Linked DNA regions of Schizosaccharomyces pombe. The protein of the gene in region 1 interacts with the protein of each later gene in a pairwise test. Each region holds a gene or a part of one and is shown in the gene's direction. Other genes may lie near its edges. The genes, in order: atg11 and dbl5.

Region 1 (5,828 bases):
AAGATTAAAAGCAGGGGTGTTTTTGGCAACATTAATTAAAACTTGCTCTAAAACGGCTAATAAACGCATCTGCTCTTGTCTGCAATCCCCAATCTTTTTAAAAGCATCTTTAATATGTCCGACAAACTGTTGAAGAGTCGATAAAGTCGTGGCAGTTACAGGCATCTTAGGATTGTATTCTTCCATTGATGGATTTACTTCTGGTAAAGTCTTACATGGAAACTGCTCATGTCCTGTAGGTAACATTAATGGCTTTTTGTCGCTAATATGTATAACCGAAATGGTTAATTCAAGAAGATAAGCATGTAAGCATATGTAACCTGGAGCGAAATATATGACATTATCAGGTAATTCGAAAGAGAATTGCAAAGCTAAAAAAGAATGATAGCATGATAAAAACTCGAAAAAGAATCCACCTGTAGAAGACTTAAAGCGACGCATCCATGCTCGTGTGAATTCAATAGGCTGCCTATTGTAACCTATAGTAAAAGGCGTTGAAGTTCGTTTTGGGTAATACGGATGCATAGTCGAGGAAAATTGGTCAGTAAAAAATGGCGCAAGATACTTATGTGAAATAATCATTATTTTTTCGTCGAAGGATGAGCCCAAAGCATCAATGTACTTTTTCTTTACATCTAATGCGCTCAAGAAATGGTCGGCAAAAAGTGGAAGTTGAAAAAAGGAGAGAACCAAGATACTCGCACAAAATGTCGTTAATGAATACGGCAAGGACTTTTGAGAAAGCAGATGAACTACAAATGTCAATGTATCGTAAAGTATTAATTGGTGTTCCAAGTACAATAAAGCAGAGTGTTCCACTTTGTTCCAACAATGATGCTTGGCGATAGCAAGTATGGCCTTTGTATATGTGATACGTTCTGAAGTAGAAATATTAGATTGTAAACGTCGAAGAATGGATACCCACCAGTTATACAAAGAATGCCTAAGTTTATCCAATTCCGGTTCGGAAACGTTTTTAGTGGTTAAAGAAGCCAAATGTGGTAATAAAAACCCTCTTATAAGAACTACCTTATCAGAATCCTGCTGATTAATAAAATTGATGAATTGCTCGGATAAAGGACACTTTATTGGAGAAACCAGTGGCTCCGAAAGACGTAAGGTAGATTGGACGGCCTTATTTATTAAGCTAGAAGGCGCTATCTCCTCCGCATTAAGGCGTAGGCTTTGAGAAGACAACTGAGAAAAAGGAGAGGTAGAACGAGAAGAGGAATCAGAAGATGATGATGAGGGTGATTCGTTGTAAGGCTCATTTAAGATTGTTGAGGAATGGCTTACTAAAGTGTTTTCATATTTACCATAATCATCTGTAATCGAAAATGGTTCAAAGTTCGAATCAAGGTCGTCAGCTACAAGCACATTGGTTGTATCGACGGGATCATGTTCCTGAATACATTTTACCACAACAGGATAGTTTTTTGTTTGGGAACCCGAATGCTCTTCCTCTTTAAAGGAGGCTGTATTGGGAGGACCCATAATAGCGGCAAGGATCTCATATCGTGATTGAAAGTCACCCATTCAGAATTTCAGAAATGAAGCTAAATGTAAAGAAAAGAATAAGTGTGAAATGCAAATAAAAAGAATATAATTAATCCCTAGATTAAAACCAAATTAATTAACATGAGCCGTGCAATCACCACTAATAAAGAAATGAAGATTTAAAGGACAAGCTATGCAAATGCCAGAAAAAAATGTACCAAATATGCTAAAAGATGCTCAAAAGTTTTTCCTACAGTAGAGAAATTTTGACTTTTTTAATTTTTTAAAAACTTTATCGATAAAAGACAGAGAAATCGGTAACCAAAAGATTCGCGGTTAAAAAAACAAGAAAAATACTTCCGAGTTTAGAATACTTGTATTCTAAAAGAATGAAAAGTAAACAAGTAGAAGATATCTTTAAATTAAATATATGAAATCCGCAATGTAAATTAGCATCCCCAACACTTTCGTTCACACCCAGTGTAGATGCTTGGTTAAGGCTGAGTTTCCGAACCCACCAGCTTGAGGGTATACGGCTACATATGACATATATTTCAGTAGACAAACATAATAAAACCAATAATTAAAATTGTTTTTTTAAGCTAAATGAAAAGACATTTGAAATTTTAAGCTGTATTGTCTTACAGCTTCAACTCAGTGTTCATACAATGCCAATCTCCTTTTGGTAGTTAGTACCCAACAATCGCCTAAACCAAATAGAACCCGCCAACTTACCAAACAAAACGGAATATAAGGACAGAGAATAACTATATGCAACGGATTATAAATAACTGATATTGAGTTTTCTTTTAGATCAAATATTTCAAGTTTAATGTTGGGGAATCGCGAATGATAAAGTTAAGCAATACAATAGGTCAGTATGCGTTTTCGATTGAATGATTCATTCTCCGGAAAGAGTTGGACCATAGATAATGTACAATGGACTCCCCAAAATCTTGTAGCTTGGATTATGGAGCTCAATATTGGACTTAGTGATGAAGCAAAACTATTATTGCCGAACGGAATGTCTTTGAATGAAACCGTACTAAATAGTGAAAGTGATGTGGTTATTTACGTACTAGATCAAAACTTGTTGACTTTCACCTACGATGGTGATAAAATTCCTTCTATTCCTTCTCTGAAAGGACAACCAATATCTAATGTACTTACTGGGATTATAGCTGATTCTTCTTCAGATCAATGGAAAGATAAAATCAGCAAGTGTCTTTCATTATTATCTGATATTTTAGAGTCTTCTTCAAAGATTCATAATCAATTAAGCGTATGCCATGATGAGTATTCTACTAGTATTGTTTCTCCAGAAGTTGCAATGAATTATTTACAAAGAAGACAATCTGGTATGAAAGATTTACTTTTCGTTTTCTACGAAAGACTAGATCGAGTATCTGTGTCTGATTTACTTCATGATTTCCTCGCTCTACCAACTGGTTCTTTACCCATTACTCCTCTTAAAATACTTTCAACAAATTGGACTAAATTGGACTCCTGGTTAAACTCCATTTCAGCTCGTTATGCTGAAGCTCAAAAACGAGTCCAACAGTGCATTGGCGCCGCAAATAGTATTATCGTTTCCCCATTCAAGGAAGTTCCTTCAATCAAGGAAGGAGATGATGCTTATTATCATCTACGTTCCGTCGCTCAGGATGCAGCCAATATATTGCAAGAGATCCTTAAAATAGAGTCAACTTCAACTACTTCTCAAATCAAACCAAAATGTAATTACGAAACCGAAATTACTGATTGCATGGAAAAACTTCAAAGTAATCTGTCGGAATTAAAAAGTTCTAGAAAGTCATCACTAATATCTTTGAAATCTTTTTGGCTTTCCTTTTATAAGGTTTCTCTTAGATATGATGCATTGTACGAATATCTTCGACAAATAGCAGAAGAGCTTGACAGAAGCAAATTCGTTCTTTCTCAGTCTCGAAACATTTTTTCGCTATATATCGACATTTTAATGGAGGCACTGAGGAGGACTGAATGGCAGGAATCATACAATGTAAGCCATGATAGTTCTCTTCCTTTAGACCAGGAGAAGGAGCTTTCTCTTAGGAAGTCTTGGCTCAGTCATTTCTCTAATTTGCTTTTTAATCATGGCCAGCTAAAGTACTTACCAGTTTTAACTCGTGACGAAATTTCTAATTATTTACTCAATATTCAAGCACATCCGAATTACCAAACTTTTCATCAAATGCTAAGCAATCGGCTCTCAGAATATTTGGGCTTTCCTGGAAGTCCTCGAGAAGCCGTTTCCAATACGGTTCAAGCGAACAATTCATTACATGAAAAATTGGCAATGTATCAAAATCGTTGCAATAATTTAGAGGCAATGTTAAGCCATCAAAACGGCTTTAATTATAACATTAACAATGATGGTTTATCTCCAAATGCTCCACATCCACCCATCAATGAGCAGTCTAATTCTTCTCAGCCATTTTACCGTGTTTCCCCTAGTATTGTGCCTCTAAACGTAATTCGTAAATTAACTAATCGCAAAACTTCTTTTACCGACAGCCACATATTACGACTTCAAGATGAGGTTAATCAATTACGCAACGAATTAGATTTGGTAAATAAAAGAAATGAGGACTTATTAATTGAGCTTCAAGGGAAGGAAGAAAAGATCCAATACCTCGAAACTGAAAATGAGGAAGTGCTACAAAAATACGAAAATTTACAGGAGGAACTTTCATCAACACGGAAACTGCTTACGAAAAATGAAGCGGCAGTTGCAGAACAGCAATCAAACGAGGAGATGCATTCTAATGAACCGAACATATTAAACCTTTACTCCGTATTTGAGGGCAAAGTTGATAGCTTGCAAGAACTTTATAATGCTTTCAAGCTTCAACTCACGAGTTTGAAGCAAAAGGGCGAATACGCTACTCTTGCAAAAGATGCCGAAGCAGTACAACATATTATTGAAGAGAGAGATTATGCTCTTGCAGAGAAAGCTGATTTACTCAAACTTTCCGAGAATCGAAAAGAACAATGTAAGATATTAACTCAGAAACTTTATACCATTGTATTCCGGTGTAATGAGTTACAGTCTGTTCTTCGGGAATGCGTTACTCAGCCTGGATTTGATTCAGATAACGAAAGAGATGGCCATGCATCGATTCCAGATCGCCAAATTGAATTTAATTCCAAAGATTTACAGTATCTTTATTGGATGGATGGGGAGGATGCTGATAGGAATTTCCAGGAATTTTTGAACAGAATGAGTTCTTTAGATTTTGACTCTTTCCATAACTTTGTTGTCAGTGTTTTGACTCAAGCACATAATCATGAACTTCGTTGGAAACGTGAATTTCAATCTAACAGGGACAAGGCGCTGAAAGCTATTTTGGACTCTCAAAGTAAAGTCTCATTAAGGAATTTCAAACAAGGATCCTTGGTCTTGTTTTTGCCTACTCGACGTACCGCCGGTAACAAAAAGGTGTGGGCGGCTTTTAATGTTAACGCTCCTCATTATTATTTGAACACTCAACCGCATTTGAAACTTGAAAGCCGCGACTGGATGTTAGGAAGGGTAACTTCCATTGAAGATCGTACTGCTGATGATTCGACGGATAAATGGCTTCGCCTGCCTTCAGGTACAATATGGCATTTAGTGGAAGCTATCGATGAAAGATTTTAAATCATTATGTGACCTAGCTTATACCTTCACTTGCTTTTTCTTTGCTTGTATTTGTGGGACTGATTCTATATGACAGACATTTGGTATTATCATACTTCTATTTTTTCAGGTTTTGATCTGTTATGGCATTATTTACTGAAATTTGTTTTTTGGTCTCGCCTAGTAAGGTATCCGACGTAAATTAACGACTACTATTGCTGTAGCGTGTCTCTCGTCTTGTAACATGATAAATTTTTAATGAACTTTTAATCTATTCGTATATTATTTAATATGTAGAACGCAATCGCTCGCAATAAAAGTGATTTGCAAATATTATTTATCACACCGAACAACGCACTGGTGGTAAGGAGTACCTTATGTAAATTGCTTTGTGTAGTGTGTCCCATCAAAGTACAACCTGGAATTATGATTCCCTCAAAAAATATCCAAAAGATCAAGTTGGTTACGTTCGATGCTTTTGGAACAATCCTTCATTTAAGTAAACCTGTTCCAATTGTGTACAGCGAAGTCGCTCAGAAGTATGGAGTTCATGCAACTATTGATGAAATTGAACACAATAGTAATAAAGGTTAGCTTTTGGTTTCTATTTATCTAATAATTTAGCATTCAAGGATTTCAGTGAAAAGCATAAGAATCATGGAAAAAAGTCAGGATTAAATCCTCATGACTG
Region 2 (5,181 bases), on another chromosome or scaffold:
GATTGCTATTGGTAAAGATGAAGAGGCTCTTGACATTATGTGCAAAAACAACGTTCTTCCTCGTGAACACGAAATTATTCAAACGGAATACCATGTCATTAAAACTGACTGTGAAGCTGAAATGGCCGGTGGTCCCGCTACTTGGGGTGACATTCTAGGTGCGGATATTCGTTATCGTACCTTCCTTGGTCTTGGTGTCATGTCTCTTCAACAACTTACCGGTGATAACTACTACTTCTACTATGGTTTCGAGGTGTTTGAGGGTACTGGTATGAACTCTCCTTATCTTTCTGCTTTGATTCTTGATGCCGTTAACTTTGGATGTACGTTTGGTGGTCTTTTCGTCCTAGAGTTCTTTGGTCGTCGTATGCCATTGATTATTGGTGGTGTTTGGCAATCCATTACTTTCTTCATTTACGCAGCTGTTGGTAATCGTGCTCTTACTCGTAAGAATGGTACCTCAAACCATCGTGCCGGTGCCGTTATGATTGTGTTCTCATGTCTTTTCATTTTCAGTTTTGCTCAAACTTGGGGTCCTGCCGCATACGTTATCGTTGGTGAATCGTATCCCATTCGTTATCGTTCCAAGTGTGCTGCCGTCGCTACCACTGGTAACTGGTTGTGGGGTTTCCTTATTACTTTCTTTACTCCCTTCATTAGTGACTCCATTGGATTCAAGTATGGTTATATTTTCGCTGCCTGTAATTTGTGTGCTGCTTGTATTATTTTCTTGTTTGCCCATGAAACCAAAGGTCTTACCTTGGAAGAGATTAACGAACTGTATCTCTCCGGCGCTAAGCCCTGGATGCCTAGGCCCGAGAATCTCGGACAAGCTGCAAAGCAACAACAAGAGGTTCTTGAAAAATCTCGTGGTGTTCAAGGTGAAAGTGCCGCTCATCTTGAAAACGTTGACAATGAGGGTATGGAGGATACTTCGAGTAACGACATTACATCTTCTACCTCTTCTTCTGAAGGCCGTGCTAAGCCTGAGTCTAACTATGTTGATGAACAAGATCGCTACGCATAAGTTTGTTGACCGAAAATGGCAATGCTTTCGGTTTACACGAATCGGTAGTTTTTAAATGTTATTTCTTTTTAATGAGTATGTGTTTTTTGCTGATTCATCCTTCATTAAAATCGAATTGTATAATTGGATTTTGGCTGTGCCAACTTTGAGAGTTATTTTTTATTTGCATTTCCTTTGTCGTTGTTATTCAAACTGTTCCGTCCTTTCTGTTAGAGATATTAATATTAAGTTGGTGTGCATGCTTTTTAACTGGTAATGTTTTTATGAGTGGCCCGGTCCTTATTACTATGGAAAGGCGTTGATGAGGAACTGGCAGGGATTGCATTATAATTTTAATAATAATGTAAACAGATAATTTAGTTAAATGCTGATAGTTTTTTCGTTAAGGATTAACAAAAATTAAACAGTTCCTTATTTCTAATGTGCTATTACATATCGTTTTGTGTATTGCGAATTGTAGACATTGAGTAGAAAGGTATGCTGAACAGTAAATAAGCGTAGTATCTAATTGTTGATATGTTATTTAATCCTTGAATGTTTTTGAATAGCATTCGTTCAATTTATTTACCTGGTTAGAACGATGCAAAAAAAGGTTTCCGGTAAGTAATCAACGATATTTACGAGTTAAGTCGGGAGACGTTCAATTCTACTTAGAGTGAAACATTGAAAGCTATGGTTGAAAATATTATACTTAAAACTATACGTGAAATGCCATCGGTGCGTATCTGTGAATAATCCTCATAAAAATCCAAGCTACAAGAAAACGCTATTAGCCATGCTTGTTGAACGCAATCGCATTTTGTAACGTTAAATAAATTTACATATGCCCGAGATTACACTGACTACAAGTCACTAAATGATATTTATGATAATACCAGAAGAATTTGATAATGCAGTTGTAAACCGCTGCATTGCAATACGCAGAGTATTTGCCATCTACAAGAAATATATAAAGTACAAATCAATGGTTGATTTGCTTTGAAGAATTTGCATATAATTCGTTTTTTTAAAGGATTTTATTTAAACTTATTATTTTGATAAAGCTTTCTCTCCGGATTAGAAACGTTAGAGCTCACATACCAAGTTCAATAGTAATTTATCTGTCTGGGCGCAATGGTTAAACGCAGTTCTCATCGCCAAGTAGTTTTGGATGAAGACGATGAAGAAAATTATAATAATAACTTGGACGATGAGAAAATGGAGGTTCTATTAATTCCACAATCCAACAGCACAACTTTTGCGTCTAGTGATGCAACTCAAATGTACAAAAAGTCTCGCATTAGCAGTAATTCAGAAAATAAAAAACAAATCCCCGATACAAAAACTTTGCTCGAAACGTTCCAGAAAATAAAAAAAACTCTGGAATGTCCCATTTGCACAGAAGCTTTACAAAGACCTTTTACCACTCATTGCGGTCATACATATTGTTACGAGGTAAGTGAAAATTTGATGCTTAACACTGGAATAACTTTTCATTATCATTGAATTCCCTCATTGTGAGTGAAATATTGAAAGAGCAAGATTATATCTTTAAAAGTTTCTAGATTTACTTTTTTTCTATAAAGGATTGAAACTAATAAATAGTGTCTTCTAAATTGGTTAAAAGAGTCAAAATCTTGCCCAACTTGTCGCCAAAAACTGTATACACAACCTTCACCAGCATATCTTGTATATGAAATAATGAATGTGGTTGCTGCCTCAAACAGTGGCTTCCCACTTGTGGGAATCAATGAAAATCCAGCAAAGAAGCAAAAGGAGGTATTGTTTGATGGGATGTTTAAACAAGAAGATTCTCATTACCCAAGAAGTATCCTTGTTGATTCTGAAGATGGAGTTTTACGATGCGCTCGTTGCCAATGGGAATTGGAAAATCCGTACCATTGCGATCATTGCGGTTTTCAAATATCGGATGACCAAGATTCTGGTCGTGAATGGTTTTGGGATGGAGAAAATGCTGAGAGTGATTCCAGCCTAAATGGCGATAACACCCGTGGTGGGAATATCTCGACTAACCGCGCATTTAATAATATGGGACATGCGCCAATAACTGCAGTACCACAAGATTGGCTGAGATTTGACGAAGGAGAAGAATTTGTGGGGTCTGATTTAGAATCTGATTTTTCTGGTCCAGGTGAGTACGATGTTGATGATGGATTTATAGATAATCGTGCTACAAGCCAATTATCTCCTGTCGAAAGTGACGATGACTTCGTAGCTCCTGTCAATGGAAGTAATGGAAATGGTATTACTGCTTTGGATAGCACAGATAGTGAAGAGATTGATATTATGAACGGCTTCGATGAAGAGCGCGACTCTGGAGGGACGAATATGGTATCTCGATCTGAGACCTGTTATAACGATGGGCAAAGATACGATGAGTTACGAAGAGAGCTTGCTGACATTCAGAATGAAAGTTTGGATTCTCTCAATTCTTCCTCAAATAATTCTCCTTCTCATAACAATATTCATTCCAGGCAACATCCATTCTCATCAGATGAGGATGAAGGAAATATTGTAACTAATGGAACAGGCCTCCGTAGTTCACAATCATCCAGCCAGAATAGAGGATTTGATCTTGAACCCTATTCCGAGGTATTCACTGCAAGCTATCCACGTCGGCAAGCTCGGCGAACTCGTACAATACAACTAGACTCTGACGAAGAATCATAATTACTCAACTCTAACGAAGAAAAAATTATACCGAGAAATCAAGTAACCTTAACCTGGTCTATGGTTTCTGTTCATGATGAATGATTTAATTGTGATTTGGATTTTGGGTCTCTAGAGCATAAGACACTAAAATTTAGCATACATGTCGGATTTATGACTAAAAAAAAAAATTCAATACTAATGATATTTGTGCATGTTTGTTTTGTCTTATAATTATACCTGCCATTTAACCTCCTAGTTGATACAATTAGTTTTAAATATTATAAAAAAAATGCTAAATATTGTTTTACCGTGTAACGTTGAGACGAATACAACTTCGTCACCTTCTTCGAGGTTATATTCTTCCTTTTCAAGAAGTTCCCAATCCTGGTCATTTACTAAGACGATGATCCCCGGACGTCTGCAGGGAAGTGTTAGTTCTGCAAAATCATTTAAAACATCGTTTGAGCCTGAAAAAGATGATACCACTCCATGTTCACTTACACAGTCCCATTTAAAATAAATAAATCTTTTTGAGAAGGCTTTTCTATTATTTGAGCCATATAATCAATCAATGATCCCAACTTAGTTGAGCCAAGGTTTGAAAGTGACAACGACAACGCTTTCTGCTTATTGAAGAGCAAGTCAAGCCCACCTCTACAATAATAGGTTACCAATTGTAATAAAATATGACACCTACAGTAACTCTACTTTTATAGCCATTGTTTTTTAAAACTTTGGGGATTCGTGAAAGCAACGCAAAATGTACGTTCTAACTGTATATTCCACTGTAGTTGTTAAAGAGTGATAGAAATTCAGTGTCATGTCAGCTACGCAGTTTGGTATCTGTTTAGCGTGTTTTATGACTCACTACGTTATGTATCATTATATGTCACACGCTAACCACCGTATTATGAATACCCGTTGATAACAACTGCTGACTCGATTCCTCAGTTTAGTTATTAGATATATTGGTATTCGATACTATTAGACTTCTTATAACAATAAATATAATATTGTTAGTTAACAGGGCGCATACCGCTATATTGAAATTACTAAAAACCTCACCGCAGTTCTACGTATCCGTAAATCAGATACCAAACTGCGTAGCTTACATTTAAGGAAAGCTAAGTTGGGGTGAATAAAAAAGGCAGTGACAAAATAAATGTGTCAGAAGCAATCCACTGCCTCGTTCAGTTTTTTCGTTCTTCTTTTTTTATGCCATTGTTTGAAGGAATTAGTTGGAAATTTGTTTGAACAATTTTATTATTTTGTTAAAAAGTCTTTAAAGTGGTTGGAATTGGACTACAGAGTGAATATTCTTGATTTCGCTGTTTCGTTTGTCGCAATCACAACAATTGAACTATTTGTGTGTATATCATTCAATAATAGATTGTTTCTAAGAAATGAAGAATAAAGATTATCCCTTGAGGTCGTCTATGGATGAATTGAGTACAAAAAACGATAATGAAATTGATTTGGAAAAAGGTCCTCTCCCAGAATAC

Evidence for each region.
Region 2: the proteins of atg11 (region 1) and dbl5 interact in a two-hybrid assay, tested with the Schizosaccharomyces pombe proteins (2 studies listed by BioGRID).

Annotation. Positions count from the first base shown.
Region 1 is NC_003424.3:2,629,919-2,635,746, reverse strand, and holds atg11 (autophagy associated protein kinase regulator Atg11), read left to right. Parts: upstream 1-2,195; 5' UTR 2,196-2,377; coding exon 2,378-5,158; 3' UTR 5,159-5,299; downstream 5,300-5,828. Other genes in the region: protein ahk1, read right to left, coding at 1-1,536; SPOM_SPAC7D4.05 (hydrolase), read left to right, coding at 5,564-5,726, 5,762-5,828. UniProt on the Schizosaccharomyces pombe protein: Involved in cytoplasm to vacuole transport (Cvt), pexophagy, mitophagy and nucleophagy. Recruits mitochondria for their selective degradation via autophagy (mitophagy) during starvation.
Region 2 is NC_003421.2:222,603-227,783, reverse strand, and holds dbl5 (ubiquitin-protein ligase E3 Dbl5), read left to right. Parts: upstream 1-1,965; 5' UTR 1,966-2,140; coding exon 2,141-2,461; exon of another isoform or gene 2,462-2,611; coding exon 2,612-3,697; 3' UTR 3,698-3,923; coding exon of another isoform or gene 3,924-3,931; 3' UTR 3,932-3,987; coding exon of another isoform or gene 3,988-4,097; 3' UTR 4,098-4,180; coding exon of another isoform or gene 4,181-4,333; 3' UTR 4,334-4,376; coding exon of another isoform or gene 4,377-4,399; 3' UTR 4,400-4,431; downstream 4,432-5,181. Other genes in the region: hexose transporter Ght8, read left to right, coding at 1-1,027; ubiquitin-like protein modifier Urm1, read right to left, coding at 3,924-3,931, 3,988-4,097, 4,181-4,333, 4,377-4,399; wtf meiotic drive antidote Wtf4, read left to right, coding at 5,083-5,181.